3 linked regions of the Pelodiscus sinensis genome follow. The protein of the gene in region 3 purifies or fractionates together with the protein of the main gene of each other region. This does not show direct contact. Links are inferred from orthologs where the notes say so. Each region holds a gene or a part of one and is shown on either strand. Other genes may lie near its edges.

Region 1 (7,923 bases), on a different chromosome or scaffold from region 3:
GACAGCAGCCTTACAAATGAAGTCTAAATCATGCTTCTTTAAGTATTTAAATGATGTTTTCTAATGAATCAAAAGACATCACTTTCCATGTGATACTTGCTTTTTGTCAATTCCTCCATCAGGGCTCAATTTCTATACTATTCCAAGACCCTGTCATTTTGAAGGAGCAAATGAAACTGAACTTATGTTGCTCCCAAATGATGGTGCTCAGCATTGTCATTAAGCTACTAAGATGGGCCATAATGTGTGTTAAAATTAATTACATTAGTCCTACACTGGTCTACTGGAAACTATTTAATTTCACATTTGCATATGCAGTGGTAGTATAGCTATGTCAGTCCTAGGAATTAGAGGGAGTGAAGGTGGGTGAAGTAATAACTTTTATTGGATTAACTTCTTTCACCAACAGAAGTTGCTCCAATAAAAGATATTGCCTTGCCTACACTATCTCTGAGGGTAAGTCTACACGACAGTGCTATTTTGAAATAATTTAGTCTGCATCTACACAAGCAGGCAGTTATTTCAAAAGAATGTCAAAATACTGTCAAACTGAAGGGTTTCTTACTCCTACTCCTGTAACCCTCATTGTACGAGGCATAAGGGAATAGAATCACAGAATCACAGGAAGAGACCTCGGGAGGTCATTGAGTCCAGCCCCTTGCCCAAAGCAGGAACAATCCCAACTAAATCAACCCAGCCAGGGCTTTGTCAAGCTGAGACTTAAAAACCTCTAGGGATGGAGATTCCACCACTTCCCTAGGTAATCCATTCCAGTACACTTCACCACCCTCCTAGTGAAATAGTTTTTCTTAATATCCAACCTAGACCTTCTCCATGAAGGAAAAAGTTCTATGTAGATGCTCCCAATTTTAAAATATGCTACACATAGCTCAATTTGTGTAGCCTTATTTCAAGTTAAAACCTGCGTAACCTAGGTCAAAGGCTCATGTTAGTACAGACAAGGCCTCCATGTAAATGAGCATAGTTCATCAAACTCATTGAGCATGAGTCTGGTTTATACCAATACCCTTTTATTCCACTATGGCAGTTTTACACTCACTTCACATTGCCAGAGCAAAATACAAATAAGTGATAAAAGCTGCTTCTCACCATTGAAGTAAAACTAGTTCTAGGTGTTTAATGCTGTACAGATGCACCCTTACATTTGCACAACATCTTCCCTTGCTAAAACTGAAAAAGTTTATTATTTTAATCAACTATACACAGGGATTGTATCCGTCCCATCCATCACTGAAATATAGCTGCTGCTTAAGTTTCCTAGCCCGCAAATGCTGGAGGGCCAAATAAAAACTAGCAGCTGGAGTTTATGCCCTGTGCACGTCTGAGGTCTTGAGCTAGTGGGAAATGAAGACTCTAGCTTGTTAGCTTAAATTTGTCAAAAGTTTAATCTTCTCTAATAGCCTGAACATCTCAGCCTTGGTAACAATATTCTTGACAACTGAAACATGACAGCTGCATGTACAAGGAAGAACTTCCAATGCTGCTACTCCAGAAAAAATATTTTTAAGACTGACTGGATACAGGGGGATCACTGCTAAAAAGAGGGGGGGGGAAATACCATACTTTCACAGGGAGAAACATCTGCTCACACTTTCAGATGGTAGCTAGTTGATTAAATCCTACATAGAACAGCTCAGAACATCATTCCACAGCTGTTAGAGATTATATACAAACTGATGCAGCAAAAATCTCAGCAAGCAAAATAACCAAAAATACTACAGTACCACAGTAGACACTACTACTTTTGCTCTCTTGAATTTGATCAGTAACTACAGTTTCCCCTAGCGTCCAGACCAAGACCAGCACCTTCCTACTTTACATTCATTACACTGAAAAATGAAAGGCTGGGTCTTTTAAAATAAACTTACCCTATTTCTCCTACTCCTTTCACACATGTACTCCTTTTTAATGGAATCTTTCCACCCTTTACTAAAATCCTGGGTAGGCGAGGAATCCAGGATTTCAATTCTCCTTCTTGCCTTAGGTTTCACTTCTTGCTCAGTTAAACAAAGCACATACAAATTTAAGATGAGCATCAGCGGGCCCCATGGAAGGGCAATGTATACCATGTTAGTGATTACACACAACAAGCACTCTAGATAGCAAGCTGTACCACATCCCACTGCCTGATAGGCAAAAGAGGGGGGGATTTTTGGGTCAACCAAAGGAACAAGGTAGCTACTTATCTACACCTCTTTTGGACTTTGAAGTTAGGCGTTTCCCTGCCAAGCAGAGGTGGATCCTTAAGTTGCAGCCACTATTCAGAGCGTAAGGCTGGGAAAGAAGGGATAGGACTGCGGTGAGAGGCAGTGATCATCCGCGTCTCAGGACTTTGCCCACACAGACACACCTGCCTACTTTTCATTCCCTCGCCCAAGCTCTGCTTCCCGAGCAAAAATGAAACCACAACCCTGGAGCACCAGGCACGGCTGCTCGCCAGCTGCCCTACCTGCTGTCCAGCAGCAGCCACGCCTGGACAGCTCCCGCGAGCGGATCAACTCGGCAGGGATGGGGGGTCCGGGGGGACGGCGGGTCCCGCCGCGCAGCGGGAGACGCGGGACGGCGCAGCCGCTGCCCCCCCCCCCCCCCACAGGTGTAACCCGGCACGGAGCCTGGCGGGCCCCCCCGCAGTTGGCCGGGGGGGGGGGGGCAGCGGATCTGCGCCCCGCTCCTCAGCACGCGCCGGGCTCGGTGACAGCACCGGGGGGGGGGGCCCTGCTCGCCGCCCCTCCCCCCCCGAACCGGCCCCTCCCCCGCCCGGCGGATACAGCTTGAATCCCCTCAGGATCTCCTTGGCCCGCTCGTCCTTGGTCGACATGGTCCCGCGGCGGCTCCGCTCCGCGCCCCGGAGCCGGGCGGGGGGGAGGGGGGCTGGGCGCGCTCACGGGCCTCACCGGGACAGCGACCGCGGCGCTCGGGACGCTGCACCCGCCACCGTCCGACACCCCCAACCAGAGCGGACCGGAGCCGCCCCGCCCCTGGGAGCGCCGGCCAATCGCCGCGCCCCGCGCCACCGCGCCCCGCCCCCTCGCTCCCGACCGACAGCGCCCGCAGCCAATCAGGCAGCGCCGTCTGCGGCGCGCAGGAAGGGAGGCTGCGCGGCGGTCGCTAAGGGGCACGTCCCAGCAAACTGACGTCGCCGAGAGACGGAGGCGGGAGCCAGGAGCGGAGCTGCAGCTGCGGGTCTCGGCCACAAGGGGCGCTGCCGCGCAATTGCGCATGCGCCGCTGAGGGTGCTTCGCTGCGCCCCCTGCCGGCGGCAGCATTGGCTGCAGGGGCAGGGAGCCCCCATCCTTAGGACCTGGCACACTTGGGCAACCCCACCCCCCAGCAGCTATAGGAGTAAAACAGCTGGCTGTGGCCCCCAGCACCACCACCCCTTGCACTGGGCCTCCTGCTGCAAAGGGCGAGTGCTTCCGCCTGCAGTCCCCCCTCGAAGGGCTAACCATCCGACATCCCAACATGGGCCAGAGAGCAACTCGCATATCCTGGTCAGCCTGTACCCCATAATGTTCCCTAGGGTGTGATGTCAGCCTTGCCTGCCTGCTCCCTCCCCTGTATGTAGCTGCACCCCGACTGGGTATAGTGCATGGTCCCAGCTGGGGCACTGAGACCACTTGCAGAGAGAATAATGAGTCTGCTCTACAGCCTTAGCTGAGATCCAACTGACTTTTAGCTCAAGTGCTAGAGCAGGGGAGGGCAGGGGCGTCCCATGAACCTAGGCAAACTAGGCAATAGCCTAGACCGACGCTGGCCGGGGCGCCCCATGATTACGTCACGGCCATTGACGGCAGTGCAGGCGGGGCCGCTGATCGCGCCTTCCGCCTAGGGCGCCAGCTGCCACAGCCGGCCTCAGGCCACTCCTGGGGGTGGGCAAAAGGGCCTCCGTGGGCCAGATCCGGCCCACCGAGTGGGTTGATCTGGCCCACGGAGGCCCTGCCGCTTCCCCCACCCCCAGGCCAATTAGGACCTGGGTGTGGGGAAATGCGAAGCTTCCTCCCACCCTGGCAGGACCATGCAGCGCTTTGAAGCACCATGCGCTCCTTGCAGAGTGGGAGGAGACATCACGTGCTCCCCCGCCTCCAAGTGCTGCTTGGCCTGGGGGTGGGAGGAGTGCGCAAAGTTTCCTCTGCCCTCCCCTCGTCCTGCAGCACTTCAAAGTGCCATGCACTCCTCGCAGGGTGGGAGGGAGCTTCGCACACTTCCCCACCCCTAGGCTCTGATTGGCCTGGGGTTGGGGGAGCATGCAACGCCTCTTCCCGCCCTGCCAGGGGCATGGGTGCCTAATGGGAAGGGGGGCAAAGGGGTTCCCCCACCCCGAGACCAATCATGGTCTGGGGCTGGGGTAGCCCAGAAGCATCCTGGCCCCACCAAAAATTATTGCCTCCCCCCCTTGTGCTAGAGGTTAATGCACTAAGCTCCAGAGGTCGCAAGTACAGTTCCGCTTGCAGCATTTCACAGTCAGGCCCTATGCCCGTGGATGGACATAGAATCATAGACCACTAGGCCTGGAAGGGAGCTTGAGAGGACAGCGAGTCCAGTCCCCTGCCCTCACAGCCGGACTCAACACCATCTAGACCAGACATGTCAAACAGGCGGCTGGAGGGCCACATGCAGCCAGATCGAAGTTTTTTGTGGCCCACCACTACATTTTATAAAAGGATAAAGTGCGGCCTGCTGGCTGCTCGGAGCACATGGCCAAGTGCAGATCACACACGGTCAGCCGCTCTACACACGGCACCGCAGCAACTGCTCGCGGCCAGCTGGGCTGCTCTGCTCACGGTCCCCAGCACGTGCTCCTGGCTGGCCGGGCTGCTCTGCGCAGGCTTCAAGTGCCTGCTCACAGCTGGCCGCTGTACTCACACCACCCCAGCACCCGAGGAAGAAGTGTGTGGCTAGGGTTGCCAGGTAGACCCCGCCAAAAACCGGCTGGGACGGGGGTGGGGCTGGCCAGGAGGGGGGCGGGACGGGAAGCAGAGCTGGCGGGGGGGGGGGGGGGGTCTGGGGGCCGTGGGGCTCGCCGGGAGAAAGGGGGGAGCTGGGAAGCAGAGCGGGGGGGATCGGGGGCCACGGGACTGGACGGAAGGAGAGGGAGGCCCAGAGGAAGGGGGGCGGGAAGCAGAGCTGGTGGGGGGGACGGGGTGCAGCCACTGGCCACAGCCGGAGTCCTTCGGGCCGCGGCCCCGGCAGGCACTCCCTCTAGTTGCGGGGGCGGGGGTAGGGGGAAGGCCTGCGAGTCACTCCCCCCGCCCGGCTTCTGCACACAACCAGAGGCTCCCAGCTGGGAATCGGGGCTGCAATTGGTGCTGGGAGCCTCTGGTCACGTGCAAAAGCTGGGCGGGAAGAGTGGCTGGGACCAGCCACTGCCTCCGCCCCGCCCAGCGTTTGCACGTGACCACAGGGCTACCAGAGCCAATCACGGCCCCGCCTCCCAGTCGCTCCTCCGCCCCCACCAGGCTTCCCTCCAGCGCCCAGCAGGGAACTCAGAAAATACCGGACATTGTACGTGTCCAGTATTTTCAGAATTTTTCTACCAGTCAGAGGGTACAAATACTGGACTGTCCTGGCAACCCTATGTGTGGTGGGCAGCTCCGGGACCCAGGCATTAGGTTGGGGAGGCTGGGAGTGCCTGGCTCTGGGGGAAGGGGGAGGCATTAGGTGGGAGGGGGCTGGGAGTGCCTGGCTCAGGGGGAGGGGAGAGGCATTGGACCACAGACCTTTAGCTCTTCCCCTTGTACAAGCATACAATTCAGTGTTAATTGCATGGTGTCACATACTGTTTCTCAAATAATATGATAGCATGCAGTTTTTTTCCACCAAATGGAATGGAATCAAGAGTACTGTAATATATACACACACAAGGGGCTGATTTGTGGTTCCCAGTTTAATTTTCATATGCCCTGAGTTTAAAATACCTAACTGTACTGTGTTAATATTTGTCATATGATTTCCTTGGAATGTAGGCATTGCCAGATCAGCCAATGGGACCCTCTAGTCTAGTCCAGTATTGTAACTACAAAAGTGGCCAATACAAGATGTGTCATAGGATGGGGTATGTGTGTGCTCGCACATGTCCACAAGAAATGATAGTGGGCAGTTATCTCCAGATAGGAAATGTTTCTTCTTCACTCCTATCAGTTTGTGCTGGCTTATGACCTGAAACAGAGTGGGTTTTAATCTGTTTTTTATCCTACCTATGGTTATTTTAATGTTTTCATTATCAATAAGCCTTCATTCTTTTAAAAGTCTAACAATCTTTTGACCTCACTGCTATTAAATGGCAGTGAGTTCCACAGATGAATTGGGAAAAAAAGTTTCCTTTTATTATTTTTTTGTCATGTTTTGGCTGTTTGCTCATCAATTCCCACTTTGCATACCTGATATATGATGAACCAGAGGCTCAATAGATTGTCTAGGAGTGATGTTTTGTGGCAAGGGACTAGGGCCGTGAAGGAGGAAAGCCCGAGACTTAAATGTACTTAACCAATTACAAACTTTATTGACTACAATTTGATTATATTCAATTACTGTCTCTGATTTGTTTAAGACAACGTAGCATGCAAATAAAACATACATTAAAGAAATTCAATACAAAAATAATAAGCTGATGAATAATATATTAAGCAATACTTACAAACCCAGTGACAATTATGATACACAGACAAAAACAACGCGTAGCATGCTCCGGATTCGTACACCCTTTCGTGATTCGGTGGGTGGGAGGCGGCCTTGGGTGATCAACCCCTTAGCCAGGCTGGACGATACGTTTCCTCTATCTTGATACGGAACCTCCCCGAACTTAGGGCTCAGGGTGCTTTATACTATAATTTTAACATCCGGTACCATATTAGGGTTATTTGATATTTTGTGGTACTGTGTACATATCAGGGTTCCTTCCTTGTGATATGACGTCTGATTGTGGTCAGTGCCTGATGCAGACATGATTGGCACACGTGAAAGCTAGCTATGTTTTTTGTTTCCCTGCTCCAGGTGCTTCTTAACTGATGTATATGACAGCTCATGTCTCTTATTCCTATCTTGTCCTGTTTTTTAGTGCTCGTTAACTTAGTGTGTGGGACAGCTTGTGTCCCTACTCTTATCTTTTTGGCCCAGGTGCTTGCCAAGTTAAGTTCCCTTTACTGAGGCTTGAAGGCCCCTGGCCCGGGTGCTTGCCAAGTTAAGTTCCGTTTACTGAGAACTGTGCTGAGCACCCGAGGGACTTCAAGCTCTATCTCTGGATCTGCCTCAGCAGCCTGTGTTTTTCTTGTGAGGGGCTTTAGTGTGGCAGTAAGGGCAATACGCGCGAGACCGTGGTCAAAAGGACCTGCTACACGACAATATCTATCTTACATTTTACCTATCCTTATTTCAATTTCTGCTGTATAGACTTAACTTGGGATAGGTTTCCAGTTTCTGAAGGATACTCATTTGGCTCAAAAAACATCTGCTTTAAAGATCAAAAAGGAAAAGGAAATTATCCAGTTTTATATCTAAGAAGTACCAGCCAGTCAAGGGTAACCGGGGTATACCAATATTGCTAATAAATATGCACTTGTACATCAGTCAGCCAAAGGGCAAGTAACATGGGATAAGAGGGAAAGTTCTTTCATGGATTGAGAACTGGTTAAAAGACAGGAAACAAAGGGTAGGAATAAATGGTACATTTTCAGAATGGAGAGGGGTAACTAGTGGTGTCCCCCAACGGTCAGTCCTGGGACCAATCCTGTTCAACGTATTCATAAATGATCTGGAGAAAGGGGTAAGCAGTGAGGTAGTAAAGTTTGCGGATGATACCAAACTGTTTAGGATAGTCAAGACAGAAGCAGACTGTGAGGGACTCCAAGAAGATCTCACCAAACTGAGTGATTGGGCAACAAAATAGCAAATGAAATTTAATGTGGC
Region 2 (6,965 bases), on a different chromosome or scaffold from region 3:
GGGATGGTGCTAGAGTAGAGGTTGAGGGCATCAGGGAAGATCTGTGATGTCCCCTCAGGGCTGATGCCAGAGCACTTGGGGATGAAGCCACAATCCTGCGCCACCAAGAGTCCCTCTCTTTCCGTGAGGTCAGCGCCTGGGTCAGGGACAAAGTCAGCTCGATTAGGCCTCTCGCAGCTTCAAAGGTATCTGGCATCAATGGTTCTGGGAAGTCTTCCGCTGGGCTGACATCCCAGCGCAGGTTGGAATGAAGTCTGGAAAGAAGGTCCGGATGCCAAGCCCACTGTGGCCCCGTACCCTTCCTGAGGGTGCACTGTGGGCATGTGCCGCGATGGAGACTGGCCCCTGCTTGGCCTCTATTTCTCCTGTGGCACCAGGGATTGAGAATGGTGCTGGCACTGTCTCGGTGTTGAGGAGTCCCTGGAGTGGCCGGGTGCCTCATACACTGAGGCTGGTGCACTCTGTGTGGTTGGTGCGGAGTCCAAGACCAGTGACAGATGGAAAGCCGCCTCCATAAGCAATATTTTAAGGTGAGTCTCACGCTCCCACTTGGTTTGCGGCTTGAACCCTCTGCAAATCTTGCAGGACTCCAAAAGATGGCCCACCCCCAAGAACTTTAGGCAGGCTTCATGGGGATCTCCACAGGGCATAGGCTTTGAGCACTTGACACAGGGCTTGAAGCCTTAGGGTCCAGGCGTACCCTGCCACAGGTGCTGGGAGCGCAAAGTGAGTCCCTGACCCAGAACGAATCACTTAACACTAAGAACTATTTATAGAAAATAATGAACGATTAACAGCAACTCTAACTAAACTAAGGCAACCACTAAGTAAGAACTGCTAGGGAGGGCTTCCAGAGCAAGAGCAGAGCACGTTCCATTGACCATCATGGGCGGTAAGAAGGGGTGGGGGCCAGTAGGGGTATATATTAGCTGATATAGTGGTGGAGGCTTCCCTGCTGGCCCAACAGGTACTGCTAAGGGAAAAACTTCTGTCGATGCACGCATGCAGTGTGCACACACCTACATGGAATGGACATGAGCAATCACTCAAATAATAAGAGTCTGAGACATGGCTGTAGAGGGGAGCCCCTTTAAGCACAAGCCTCAGATAGCCTCAGGAAGCAGCTACAGGAAGTGACTGCTGTCTTGATGCTCTGAGTTGAGTGTTTCCGGGGGGCCTTAAATGCCATTCAGGCTCCAAAGAATGTGGGCACGCTCTTTCAATATAGATCTGTGCTATTTCAATGGGGATTTGTAGTGGGGACATGTCATTTCAAAATAGTTATTTTTATTATGTTGAAATAACTTATTTCAAAATAATCTTGTATTGTAGACATAGCCTAGAATAAGCTAATGAAATAAATAATATTTAAATAGATCTTAATCTGTATGTCTAAGTTGATTCTGCCTTCTAGATCTCCTAATGCCTCTCCCTTTTCTGTTCTTAGATCGTAAGCTCTCTGGAATAGGAAAACTTTATAGCGGGGCTACTCAACTTTGGAAGCCGCAGGAGCCACAATGATACTCACAGCACATGCCGAGGGTCGCAACTTAAGTGTGGTTGCACATACATGCAAAAATATATGCAAATATATGCAAATAGCTTCTTTCACACTGACTGGCATGAAAAAAAAGATTAAGCCTTAAGCCACGGCACCAGACCCAAACATGGCCAGTTAGTACCTCTCAGGCTCTCCCCACAAGGCTAAATAGCTAGCACTTCCCACAATGCACTGGCACTCCCAGCACCTCCTCCCTGGGGGCCAGAAATGCCAACACGATGTACCCATTTGTTCCAGCCAGCCCGTCCACCTGCGTCTTTAATTGCTCACCCTGCCTTGCCATTGTGGAGCATGTTCCCAGTGGAGTCCATGTTCAAGGGATCCCACCTGCAAGCTGTGTGTTGAGCCCTGCATAAACCCAAACCAGACTGCAGGCTGCAAACAAATGGGCTGTGGGCCTCATGCAGCCCATGGGCCATGTGTTGAGTAGCCCTGCTTTAATGTCCTGGTTGGTGTAACAGATTGTGACGGCGCGTTGGGGGTCCCCCGTCTCCTGCACCCCAAAATGGCACAAACAGACTCCACCAGCCAGTGGAATTGAGGGTGGTTTATTGCTCCTCCAGGATACAGCATAGCACAGATGTAATCTGGTTACAGGAACTGGGGCTAAGAGGCCTCAGTGCTCCCCTTGAGATGGGGGGTTCCCAGCCCCCCTCCCCAGCTCCTTCTCCCCTGCTTTCCAGACAGGAACTAACTAATTGCAGCCAGGGCAGCATTCCACCTTCCTTTGTTCCTCTCCATGGGGGGTGTCTGGTTCAACAAGTTTGGCTTTACCTTTGCATAGTGAGGTTTTCCCTGCTGGGTCTTGCTCCATACAGCAGGGGTCACCACAGCCCAGCAAGTACCCCCACTACGTCACACAGATATGACAATTTCTTGCAATATCCTTGAAAAATGTCTTGCTGAATTAAGTTTAAGTATTTAAGTGTCTTTGGAACCCATCACACTAGTTTATGTATTTTTGTCTGCCAGGATTGTATATAACCTCTCTAGAAGGGAAACAGGATATTATTAATCTTGCGAATACTGTATTTATGAATTTCAAAGAACTATATCAAACAATATATCATGCAAGAATGGACTTTCGGAATAAACAGTGTCAAGTGTTCACCTGGGCAATCTCTAGTGAGAGGTGAGTGCAAATTCCCCTCTTGCTTCTGCAAAACCCAGTTTATTGAAGCTTTGTCCAGAAGAGAGCACCATTATATGCTGATTACCAGTTTTTAGTCTGAAGGTTAGAGGCCTAAGGTGTACAAAGGAAATACTAACCTATTCCAACAGAACATGCCATGAACTTGTAACACCTTGAAAAACTCAGTTCTGGAGTTTGGAGGACTGACACCTACCAAAACCCTAGGATATGTCTACACTAGCACTTTTGTTGGTAAAACATTTGTTGGCCAGAAGCGTGAAAAGACCAACAAAAGATTCACCAACAAAAGTATCAGTGTGGACAGCATTGTGTTGGTTGGTTAGTGTGCATGTAGGTTATTTTAACGTTTTATTACATTTTCTCTGTTTTCATCTTAAACAAATGTGCTTCTTAGAAATAGCTGTGTGGTAACTTGTAACTGCTACCATTTATAGTTTTTCATAGACTTTGGGCAAAAAGTAAAGCACAGATGCTGACCTGTTTGGGCAGTCTGGCTTGCTGGAGATATCACAATATAGGCAGGGAATTGTGCTGTCTGGAGAAAACCTGGTCACGAGTGGGGAGATGTAGATCTCTGCCCAAGAGAGATGATGGCCTAAAAGTGGGTGCCATGGAGGGGGAAATAGGTACAGTTGCTCTGAAATGTAACAGATGGCATTTAACAAATAATTAAATATGAAGCCCCCAAAGGCTGGAGTTTAATAAATAAAGCAGTCCTGTATGATCTCAAAACAGCTTTTGCAGCTACTCATGTCATGTGTCCCCTCAGTTGGGGGTAGGGTCACTGTCATATTTTGGGGGACTACCTGGGCAAGTTTGAAAGCAATAAAAATGAGACCTGCCTAAGTCACTCTCCCATGGAGTCTTTTACATTCACTTGCTTGTTACTTCCCACACATCTCTAATTACTCTCCCATGCATTCCTCTGCTCCTTCCTGTCCTGTTTAGGTCTCATTAATGCTTCTTCCTCCTCATTCCTGCTTTCTCCACTCCATTCCCTGCATTACCAAACTCACCCCTTCTCCTTTCTCACCACCTACTCTCCCCTACACTGCACCCCCGCTCCTTCCTCCCTCTGTTCCCCCCATGCCTCATCCCCTGCTCCTTCCTCCCTCTGCTCCCCCCCCACCTCATCCCCTCTGCTCCTCCCTCTGCTCCCCCCCCACACCTCATCCCCTCTGCTCCTCCCTCTGCTCCACCCGCTCCCCACACGCTTCCCTCTCCCTGCTCCTTCCTTCCTCCCCCCCCCCCCCCGCTTCCCCCCAGCCCACACCCGCTCTGGTCCGGCGATGGCGTCAGCGGAGCCGACAGGGGGGATTGGCCGGCGGGGCACGCGCCCCTCCTCCCGCTCTCCCTGAGTTCTCAGCCATTTTAAACAGCGGAAGGAGGCAGCAGCCGGGTTCGCTGCAGCCGGAGTCTGGAATCTGCGCGCGCCACGAGCGGGTGAGTGCGCCCCTCCTCCCCGCGCCAACGGCCGTTCGCGCGCCGCCGGGTGCTTGCTGCGCTTGTGGCCCGGGGCTGAGGGGGTCGCTGCGCCCACGCTGCCCGGGGAGCTCGGCGGGTGGGGGATTCGCCGGCTGCCCATGGGGCGGGGAGGTGACGCTGAGGCTGGCCCCAGGCTGCGGCCTGTCAGCGACAGCGCCTTCCTGGGCGGGCTGCCCCGGGGAGGCGTCGCGTGGGCGCTGCCCGCCCTGCGGGCTACCGGCCGGCGTAGACAGGTCGCGGCGGTGATGGGGAACTGAGGACAGCGTAGCCCGCGCAGGCCCCTGGGGAGCCGCCCGCCTTTCCAGCGTCTCCCCTCCCCCGCTGCCTGCTCCCGGTGGCTGCACACACGGTAACATCTCTGGGGCGCGGGCTGGGTCTGACTCCGCTTCCTGCCGCGTGCCCTGAGCAATAATCTCCCCACTTGCACGTGCCTTCAGGGGTGCGGAATGCCCAGCAGGTGTCTGGAGTGTGGCACTTGCCCCCGGCAGTGTCTCCTCAGCCCTCCGTTTCCTGCCTCGGTACAGAGCAAGTTGCCGTGGTTGTCCTGCATCAGAAACGTCTCCCGTCCCCCCCCCACCCCACCCCATTCACAGCTGTTCTCGCAGGGCTGGATGCAAAGCAGATGGCCCTTTGTGGCCTCGGCAGTCATCCTTCCTCTTACACACGCCCCCTTTCTGGATGCAGAGAAGAAGGTTGGGCTCAGGAAGTGGCCTGATGCTGATGTAGCACACGGGGGGGGGGGGGGGAAAGGAAAATGTGATTCATTGCTTAGCATCATCCAAGGCTGCATATCTTCTGTTGCACGTCATGACAAGATCATATACTAAATGCAGAACAAGAAAGTGGCGTATTCCTTTTTGAAATACAAGCTGAACTTGATAGAATTGTAAAAATTTTGCTGTGTAGTTTTTGGCGGTTGCCTTTTAAGCCGATTTAAAAGCATACAGGTGTACTTAGTGCATCTGAGGTAATGGCACTAAATGTGGCAATTTGGGAGCACTAGGAATTAATTTTTCTGGATAATTTATGAAGTCCAAGTTCTGTAGTAATTCTGTTTACCAGTTGTTGATCTGAGGAAAAGAACATACTGTAACTGTGATGGAAATAATTGTTCTCTTTTTCTGATTGTCATCTTACTTATTGGCTGTGTCTACACTGGCATGAATTTCCGGAAATGCTTAAAACGGAATACTATTCCGTTTTCAGTTATTCCGGAAAAGGAGCGTCTACATTGGCAGGCTGCTTTTCCTGAAAAGCCCTTTTTCCGGAAAAGCGTCTGTGGCCAATGTAGACGCGCTTTTCCGGAAAAGAACCCCAATCGCCATTTTCGCGATCGGGGCTTTTTTCCGGAAAAGACTACTGGGCTGTCTACACTGGCCCTTTTCCGGAACAGTGTTCCGGAATAAGGACTTATGCCCGAGCGGGAGCAGAATAGTTTTTCCGGAATAGTGGCTGATTTTGTACAGTAGAGCATCGTTGCTTTTCCGGAAATTCAAGGGCCAGTGTAGACAGCTCGCAGCTTATTCCGGAAAAGCGGCTGATTTTCCGGAATAAGTGGCCCAGTGTAGACACAGTCATTAAGTCTTCAAACAAAAACCTTTGCATAAAGGTTAATAGCATGAAAGATTTGGTCCAAGTTGAGAAACAACACAAATCAAGTGAATTGGCTGTCATAGTCACTGAAGAATTTTTTTTAATTGTCTGATTAAAACCTTCTATGTTGTTGCTACCATCTTAGGTTATTAAAACTGAAATATTAATCTAATTTACTTTTGGTCATTAATATTGTTTCTTACATTTTCAGCATTGCCTATCCCAACTACTCAAAAATCTGGAGTCAGGCCACAATAATCATGGGATTGTCTTAAAAATCATGAGATTTTTTTTAAATTTATTTTTTAGTATTAATATTTTTCTTCTGATCTGGGGATGTTTTAACGTTCATGTCAAGCTTTTCTCTACAATCACAATGCTTAGACTCTTTCTTTTAATAAAACAAAACCAGATTCTCATGTAATCTAAACAAGCAAACCCTACCTACTATGGTACTTATTTAAATCAGTAGTTGGCAACACTGCATTTCACCCTCACTTTGTCTAAAACTAGAGAGAGAATTCTTTAATCACCTCTAAAAGGCTTTATTCAACACAAATATTCAGATGTTTCTGAATGTATTTATAGTAAGTTAGAAATATCCTACCATGCTAGTTTAAAATTGAGTTAACGTTTGAACAAAGTGTTAAACAGGACTATGAGCCTGAGCCAAACAATTGAATTATATATATTTTACATATGTTGCTGGTTAATATTAGTGGCATTTTGGCAATTTAGGAGGAAAGTAACATTTTTTCATGGATGACTCAGATAAATTAAAAAAAAAAGAAAAGCTAATAATTATTGAGGGTACAGCAGAGCTGAAATGAATACATGAATAAGTTTCCATTGCATGTTTGGTTGTTTATTCAGTCATTTATCTTGAGGTCTAGCTTTTGAGGATAGCTAGGAGGAAAGGAAGTTTGAGTGGGAGAGTCTTTTTTTCCAGAAGGATGCAGGATGTACAGTCACTTTATAGTGCTTTTTTATTTTGGTAATAGAAATGTAGCTGTGTTAGTCTAGTCTAGCTGAAACAAAACACAGGACTATGTAGCACTTTAAAGACTAACAAGATGGTTTATTAGGTGATGAGCTTTCGTGGGACATGGGGGGGAAACTATCACCCCAGTTATCACCTCTAATATCACTAGCTCACAGACATTTACCTCCCCT
Region 3 (7,803 bases):
GCGCGCGCCCGAGGGGAGCGGCTCCATAGAGACCAGCAGCAGAGTGCCAAGCAGCAGGGCACCAATGGAAACGGAGCCTCGCAGGGGGCTGGATGAGTCTGCAGCGCGTCCTGCAGCAGTGTGGGGACGCCCATAGCTATGGGAGGGCACCGACTTTCCTGGGAACAGCCCCTGGGTCAGGGCCGGAGGGCGGAAAGCAGGCGTTCTGCGAACGAGCCGAGCTGGGGCGGCCAAGGCCTCGGGTATAGTCCCCGGACGGGGCAGGGGCCTCAGCAGAGGGTCTCTCGGGGAGGGGGTGCCCTCTGGAGAGCAGCCGGCCACGAAGGGATGGGCGACAGACTCTGGCTACGCAGATGCAGACTGGTCCCTTGTGGGGTCCCGCACTCGTACCGGGGACCCGAGCCAGCGGCGCGCGGGCAGGAGCCCCTCCCTGGGTCACCCCGCAGGAACAGCGCCTGGCTGCTAAGGGGAAACACTGCTCGCACCCCGGGTGAGGGGCACACGCCCGGCGCTGGAGCCACAGCACACCCTGCCCCCCATTCCTGCAGCCGGACGCCGGGAGCAGGGCCGGTCTTACTGCCTCTGGGCAAAGCCCTGGCGCCCCCCGGCGCGAACGCTGCCCTGAAACCGCAGGTGCGGGCGGAGAGGGGCCGGGTGCCTTTCGAGCTGCACCCCAAGGTGGTTGTGTGCAGGCCCCGGTGGCTTCTCAGAGGGCGGCTGCGGCGCCCCAGCCACCCCGCCCCTCTTACAGAACCGAACCGCTCCCCGCGCTGGGGCGGCACCCAGCTCCCTTCGGCACCGGCCAGGAGCGCAGCGTCCCTGGCTGCAGCCTGCCCGCCTCCCTGGCCCCCGAAACGCCAAGTCGCTGCTCCCCCGCCAAGTGGGGTGGTCAGAAAACAGGCAGCACAGCCGCACCCCCCAGCAATGAGCCAGCAGGGGGGCATTCGCGCAGGACACGAACCCCTATGGCACCCCACCACTTAACTATACCCCGCTGCCCCGTGCACCCCCACTCTCCCGCTGCCCCACATACACCTGCCCTGTGAACTTCCCGCCCCATGCACCCCTTCCCCCCCGCTGCCCCATGCACACCCCCGCCCCATGAACTTCCCGCCCCATGCACCCCTGCTCCCCACCCTGCCGCTGCCCCACATGCACCTGCCCTGTGAACTTCCTGCCCCATGCACCCCTGCTCCCCACCCTGCCACTGCCCCATGCACATCCCCGCCCCGGGCACCCCCACTCTCCCGCTGCCCCACATACACCTGCCCTGTGAACTTCCCGCCCCGTGCACCCCTTCCCCCCACCCTCCCGCTGCCCCATGCACATCCCCACCCCATGAACTTCCCGCCCCGTGCACCCCTTCCCCCCACCCTCCCGCTGCCCCATGAACTTCCCGCCCCGTGCACCCCTTCCCCCCACCCTCCCGCTGCCCCATGCACACCCCCGCCCCATGAACTTCCCGCCCCGTGCACCCCTTCCCCCCACCCTCCCGCTGCCCCATGCACACCCCCGCCCCATGAACTTCCCGCCCCATGCACCCCTGCTCCCCACCCTGCCACTGCCCCATGCACATCCCCGCCCCGGGCACCCCCACTCTCCCGCTGCCCCACATACACCTGCCCTGTGAACTTCCCGCCCCATGCACCCCTTCCCCCCCGCTGCCCCATGCACACCCCCGCCCCATGAACTTCCCGCCCCATGCACCCCTGCTCCCCACCCTGCCGCTGCCCCACATGCACCTGCCCTGTGAACTTCCTGCCCCATGCACCCCTGCTCCCCACCCTGCCACTGCCCCATGCACATCCCCGCCCCGGGCACCCCCACTCTCCCGCTGCCCCACATACACCTGCCCTGTGAACTTCCCGCCCCGTGCACCCCTTCCCCCCACCCTCCCGCTGCCCCATGCACATCCCCACCCCATGAACTTCCCGCCCCGTGCACCCCTTCCCCCCACCCTCCCGCTGCCCCATGCACATCCCCACCCCATGAACTTCCCGCCCCGTGCACCCCTTCCCCCCACCCTCCCGCTGCCCCATGAACTTCCCGCCCCGTGCACCCCTTCCCCCCACCCTCCCGCTGCCCCATGCACACCCCCGCCCCATGAACTTCCCGCCCCGTGCACCCCTTCCCCCCACCCTCCCGCTGCCCCATGCACACCCCCGCCCCATGAACTTCCCGCCCCATGCACCCCTGCTCCCCACCCTGCCACTGCCCCATGCACATCCCCGCCCCGGGCACCCCCACTCTCCCGCTGCCCCACATACACCTGCCCTGTGAACTTCCCGCCCCGTGCACCCCTTCCCCCCACCCTCCCGCTGCCCCATGCACACCCCCGCCCCATGAACTTCCCGCCCCGTGCACCCCTTCCCCCCACCCTCCCGCTGCCCCATGAACTTCCCGCCCCGTGCACCCCTTCCCCCCACCCTCCCGCTGCCCCATGCACACCCCCGCCCCATGAACTTCCCGCCCCGTGCACCCCTTCCCCCCACCCTCCCGCTGCCCCATGCACACCCCCGCCCCATGAACTTCCCGCCCCATGCACCCCTGCTCCCCACCCTGCCACTGCCCCATGCACATCCCCGCCCCGGGCACCCCCACTCTCCCGCTGCCCCACATACACCTGCCCTGTGAACTTCCCGCCCCGTGCACCCCTTCCCCCCACCCTCCCGCTGCCCCATGCACACCCCCGCCCCATGAACTTCCCGCCCCGTGCACCCCTGCCCCCCACCCTCCCGCTGCCCCATGCACACCCCCGCCCCATGAACTTCCCACCCCGTGCACCCCTGCCCCGTGAGCTCCCCACTCTTGCACCGCCTGGCCCCGCGCAAGTTCGCAGCCCGGCCCCTACCTCAGATCTCGCCGCGGGGCCGCCGCATCCCGGCAGCGGGGCGCGGGGGCGAGCGGGGCGCGGGGAGGCTCCCGGCCGGGCGCGGGGCTGGCGGCGCCGCATCACATGCGTGTGGGCAGGGCACGCCGGGAGCCGAGCGAGCCGGGCCTCCGCGCCCCGCCCCGCCGGGCAGCGAGAGCCGCCCAGCGCCGGGCCCATCCGCAGGCATAGCGCCCGGCTCTCCCCGCAGCGCCCCGCCTCCACGCACCGTGGCTCAGCCGGGCTAGCCGCCAGGGCGCGGGCCGATCTGGGGCCCCTGGCCGGAGAGGGGCCGTGTTCCCTCTGGCCTTTCCCCGCCAGTGCGGAATACCTACCTGTTCTGTGCGCCCAGGCGGGCCGATGTGCACCACCAGCAGAAACACACCGAGGTGGGCACCCTGCTGATCAGCTGGGGCAGTGGAGTCTCGCCAGCGCCCGCATGCTGGGCCAGTGCCGGTCTGTGCCCCACCACGCTGCCCCACGGTCTGTGCCCCACGGTCTGTGCCCCACCAAGCTGCCCCACGGTCTGTGCCCCACCAAGCTGCCCCACGGTCTGTGCCCCACGGTCTGTGCCCCACCACGCTGCCCCACGGTCTGTGCCCCACGGTCTGTGCCCCACCACGCTGCCCCACGGTCTGTGCCCCACGGTCTGTGCCCCACCACGCTGCCCCACGGTCTGTGCCCCACGGTCTGTGCCCCACCACGCTGCCCCACGGTCTGTGCCCCACAGTCTGTGCCCCACCACGCTGCCCCACGGTCTGTGCCCCACAGTCTGTGCCCCACCACGCTGCCCCACGGTCTGTGCCCCACCACGCTGCCCCACGGTCTGTGCCCCACCACGCTGCCCCACGGTCTCTGCCCCACGGTCTGTGCCCCACCACGCTGCCCCACGGTCTGTGCCCCACCACGCTGCCCCACGGTCTGTGCCCCACCACGCTGCCCCAGGGGACGGGTGTTGCAGAAGAAGACAGGTAGGTAGAACTCTGCCGGGATTATTTTGCCCAGAAGGGCCCGTTGTGATCATCTCAGACCCCCTGCATAGCACAGAGCAGAGCCCTGCCCCAAAGGAGTCCCAGAGCAGAGCTGTGAGGAACCCCCCTTCATTTACAAATCGCCAATGCCAACCTCACCAGGACCTGGGCCAAAATATTCCAGTGGTCAGTTACCTCCCGGCTACAAATCTGTGCCGTAGGTCCTGTCGCAATTTGTCCAGCCGCGGGACCGTCCGACCTTTCCCTGCCAGACAGAAGAGCCGGTGGTTACACGTTTGCTTGTCTACACACCTGCTTACAGACTGATCACGTCACCCGTTCATCTTCTCGCCGCTGGGCAGAACACGTTGAGCTCCTTGAGTTTGTCACTGCACAGCGGGTTTTCTGATCCCATCATTTGCATGGTTCTGTGGACCCTTCTCAGTTTATCACTACCCCCCTGGAACCATGGGCACCAGCTCTGGACACGGGATTCAGCAGCCATCACAGCGGAGCCAAACACGGCAGTAAAATAAATAAGCTCTCTCCTCCTACTTGAGATTCGCCATTCTGCATCCCCGGATTGCATCAGTCCTTCTGGCTCCCGGGTTGCACCGAGAGCTCATATTCAGCGGCTCATCCACCCTGACCCCCAGATCTTTCCGAGTGGCTGCTTCCCAGGAGAGAACCCAGCCTGTAACTACTCTCCCCATTCGTGTGTCATCTGTAAGCTCTCTCAGGGCTGGTTTTGTATTTTCTTCCAGGTCATGGATCCAAGTGTAAAACAGGCCTTCTCCCTCCCCGCCTCGTTCTGCATGGAGCCAGAGTGCCAGGGAACGGAGACACATGGGGCTAACGCTCCATGGGGCTGGCCTGGACTCCAAGTTACAGCTTCAAACACGCTCTCCAAGCGGAGTCCCATATGGGACGTGCAGGCCTCGGGTGGGAGCATGTCATCTTTCCCAGAGTGCTCAGCAAAGAGCAGGTGCATGACTCTTTGGAGTGAGCAGATTGCGTCATTCCTGCTGCAAAGCTCTGATCCTGGCGCCAGGAGCCCCCAGCAAGCTCACCGAGCTCCTGCTCCGTGGTCCTTTTGGATAAGTCGTCCCAGTGTGTTCGAAGGGTCAGCCTGCTGGCTGTGTTCCTGTGGCTCAGCCGTACTAAGGGTCGTGGTGCCTCTCTGAAGCTGTGCGGGGGACCGGCCCCTAGGAGTCATATAGATCTGGCCACGAGGTGACACTAGAGCCATACACAGTAACAGGCCCCTGCTCCGAGCTACATTTACACTTGAGCGACTTGGCTGCGTGGCCTTGAGAAAAGCTCCAGATGTGGCTTGGTGCATCCATCCAGCTTGGAGGAGTAGGGTCCTATAAGATCCATCACTGTACACTCCTTTGGGGCAGGGATATTTGGGTTTGTTCCCTGCCCAAGCCAGGAGACATGACATAACGTCCAGGGCTATCATTGCTTGTGGTCGTCGCCAGCCCCAGAGATTGCATTGGCCATAAGCCCCCGAGATTCCCACCAGGCCTGAGAGCATAAGGCTGGTGTCAACACACGACTGTTCTTACCTCACACGCTATAGCAGCGCCCCGATGGAAACAGCTGCGGAGGACTAGGAAATGCAGAGTTAGACTCGCCCTGGCAAGAAGAGAAGAGTTTTGAGGAAGGGTGGGCTTATGGCTAGAAACCTCTGCTCTGTGACCCAGGAAACCAGGGTTTGATTGGTTGCTCTTGTGGGAGTGGAGGCCAGCTAAATGCCCCGATTGATAGAGTAAAAAACAGCAAGTATCAGAGAACCCAGAAGGGCTGAGTTAAGGTGACTCTTCTCACAATCTGAGTGTTTTACTCACCTAGCCAGTGCTCAGACTTATACCCAGTATGACACCCCCCCGCCCCACAAACAGGCGTCAATATTTTTCAGACACAATTGTGCCCCACTTCTGCATGTTTAATGAGGCCATATGATGGGCCGTTCCTCTTCCTATGCTACAAGGGACCCTTATCCTAGCATGGCTCCAGTGTCCCAGGTAGAACCATATTATATCACTGATTGATATCAACGGTAAGCTAGTGCCAAAAATACTTGCAAAGAAACAAGAGAAAGCTCTGCCAGTCATTAATCTCCGTGGTCAGACTGCCTTCGTTAATATAGAAACAGAGCAGGTAACCTATGGCAACCGAGGACCCTGCCTAGCGGATAGTGCACTGGCTTTTATTTGAATTAGTGAACAGAGAAATGATGCAATAAAGATGGAAGACACTTGGGTGTAACTGGAGTCTGTGTTTTCCAGATTCGGTGAGCTGATGGCTGCTTCCAGAGTACACATGGGGTGCACAGTGAAAATGGGGCTGCATTGTCCCATCTTCTGGGCTGGGACCTAGGAGACCTGGGGTTTATTCTCAGCTCCACTACCGTGGGAAGTCACTTGCCCTTTCTGTAAAATGGGAACATGGACATTGCCCTCCTTTGTAAAGTGCTAGGGAATGCTAGTTAGCTCCAGTAAGACTCAGCAATTTGCATACGATTCCTGTCATTAATCCAAATGGAATGTAAAGATAAAGAACAAATAATAGAAAATGTATGCACTGTTAGATAATAGAAAATGGATGTAAGTTAATAGAAAACGTCTGCACTGCTAGATAATAGGATACTAAATGGAGGAATTTAACATAAGGATTTTACTTTTTGAGAATGCAAGTCAATCAAATAAATTAAAGTCTTATTGTCCAGGGAGGCACTGAAGCCAGTTCTCTACTCAGGACTGGTCCCTTGGCCCTGGAGTGTCCGATTTCGGCTCTTATGCATTGCTCGTCACTGTAGTACCAGGGCATGTGCGTGCCAAAACCGCCTCCCAGAATAGCACCCCCCCAAGGCTTCAGAACCCTGCTCAGCATCGCCAGCTTCTCCTGCATTAGCAAACCGCTGCGCTAGTTCCCACAGAGCCCGGCCTTCCCATGCACAGACGTCACAGAGGATCCTGTGTATCAGCGAACTCGGACTTGAATAAATCTGGCGTATTAGGCTCCTTCTCCGCCATTGGCTGGAGATCCTGAGGGCGCTCGAAGGCTCTTCAGTGGGAATGCTTGTACTTCAAATTCAAAAACTTCCTCCCACCCATTTCCCACAGTGAGTCGCCCTCTCAGCTGCCTCCCAGGCCCCTCGCCATGGCCCCTCATTCCAGCCCTCCGATTCCTGCGACGGTGTGTGGGTTAGCGGAATCCCTCTCCCCCAGGGACGGAGGGCGGCCCTCTCACAGGCAGCGATGTGTCTGCCAGACACTGTACATCCAGGCTTGCTGGCCATGCCTGACAGTGGAACTCTGTGAGTAATGGGTAGCAGGTTTAAAACTAATAAAAGAAAGTTCTTCTTCACACAGCGTGTAGTCAACCTGTGGAACTCCTTGCCAGAGGAGGCTGTGAAGGCTAGGACTATAACAGAGTTTAAAGAGAAGCTAGATAATTTCATGGAGGTTAGGTCCATAAAGGGCTATTAGCCAGGGGATAAAATGGTGTCCCTGGCCTCTGTTTGTCAGAGGCTGGAGAGGGATGGCAGGAGACAAATCGCTTGATCGTTGTCTTCGGTCCACAGCCTGGCAGTGTGGGAAGGCATTGCTTTCCCCTGCCTCTGATACCCGCCCCCCATGCCTACCGACCTGCATGCTGCTCGGCCCGTCCCTGCAGAACTGTGCAGCCCGACGGTGGCCCAGACAGTAACGTTGCTGAAACAGCTGTGCTCTGAGGCAGGGATATTTAATCCGGCTAGGCAGAAGGTAAATTGCATTTTCCACCCTCCAAAATGAAGGCGCCACTTCCTCTGCCGGAGCGTTCTTTTCACCTAACGAAAGTGCAGCCTGGCATGAAACCTGTGATGAAGACGCCTAGACACAGTAATTAGCTGGGAAGCATACAATTCCCTACATCGTGAATATCTGGCTGAGGCCACAATAGCAATTTATACAA

Evidence for each region. The genes of interacting proteins can lie anywhere in the genome.
Region 1: the proteins of FBXO10 (region 3) and PDE6D purify together in Homo sapiens (affinity purification with mass spectrometry; 3 studies listed by BioGRID and IntAct, with this or other methods). This does not show direct contact. The link is inferred for Pelodiscus sinensis from reciprocal best matches to the Homo sapiens genes FBXO10 and PDE6D.
Region 2: the proteins of FBXO10 (region 3) and ACSL4 purify together in Homo sapiens (affinity purification with western blotting; 3 studies listed by BioGRID, with this or other methods). This does not show direct contact. The link is inferred for Pelodiscus sinensis from reciprocal best matches to the Homo sapiens genes FBXO10 and ACSL4.

The regions. Positions count from the first base shown.
Region 1 is NC_134720.1:49,903,266-49,911,188, reverse strand, and holds the start of PDE6D (retinal rod rhodopsin-sensitive cGMP 3',5'-cyclic phosphodiesterase subunit delta), read right to left. Parts: upstream 3,008-7,923; 5' UTR 2,840-3,007; coding exon 2,790-2,839; intron 1-2,789. UniProt on the Homo sapiens protein: Promotes the release of prenylated target proteins from cellular membranes. Modulates the activity of prenylated or palmitoylated Ras family members by regulating their subcellular location.
Region 2 is NC_134723.1:28,414,350-28,421,314, forward strand, and holds the start of ACSL4 (long-chain-fatty-acid--CoA ligase 4), read left to right. Parts: upstream 1-3,958; 5' UTR 3,959-4,157; intron 4,158-4,216; exon of another isoform or gene 4,217-4,548; intron 4,549-6,965. UniProt on the Homo sapiens protein: Catalyzes the conversion of long-chain fatty acids to their active form acyl-CoA for both synthesis of cellular lipids, and degradation via beta-oxidation. Preferentially activates arachidonate and eicosapentaenoate as substrates.
Region 3 is NC_134716.1:740,260-748,062, reverse strand, and holds the start of FBXO10 (F-box only protein 10), read right to left. Parts: upstream 3,016-7,803; 5' UTR 2,954-3,015; coding exon 2,852-2,953; intron 1-2,851. UniProt on the Homo sapiens protein: Substrate-recognition component of the SCF (SKP1-CUL1-F-box protein)-type E3 ubiquitin ligase complex. Mediates the ubiquitination and degradation of BCL2, an antiapoptotic protein, thereby playing a role in apoptosis by controlling the stability of BCL2.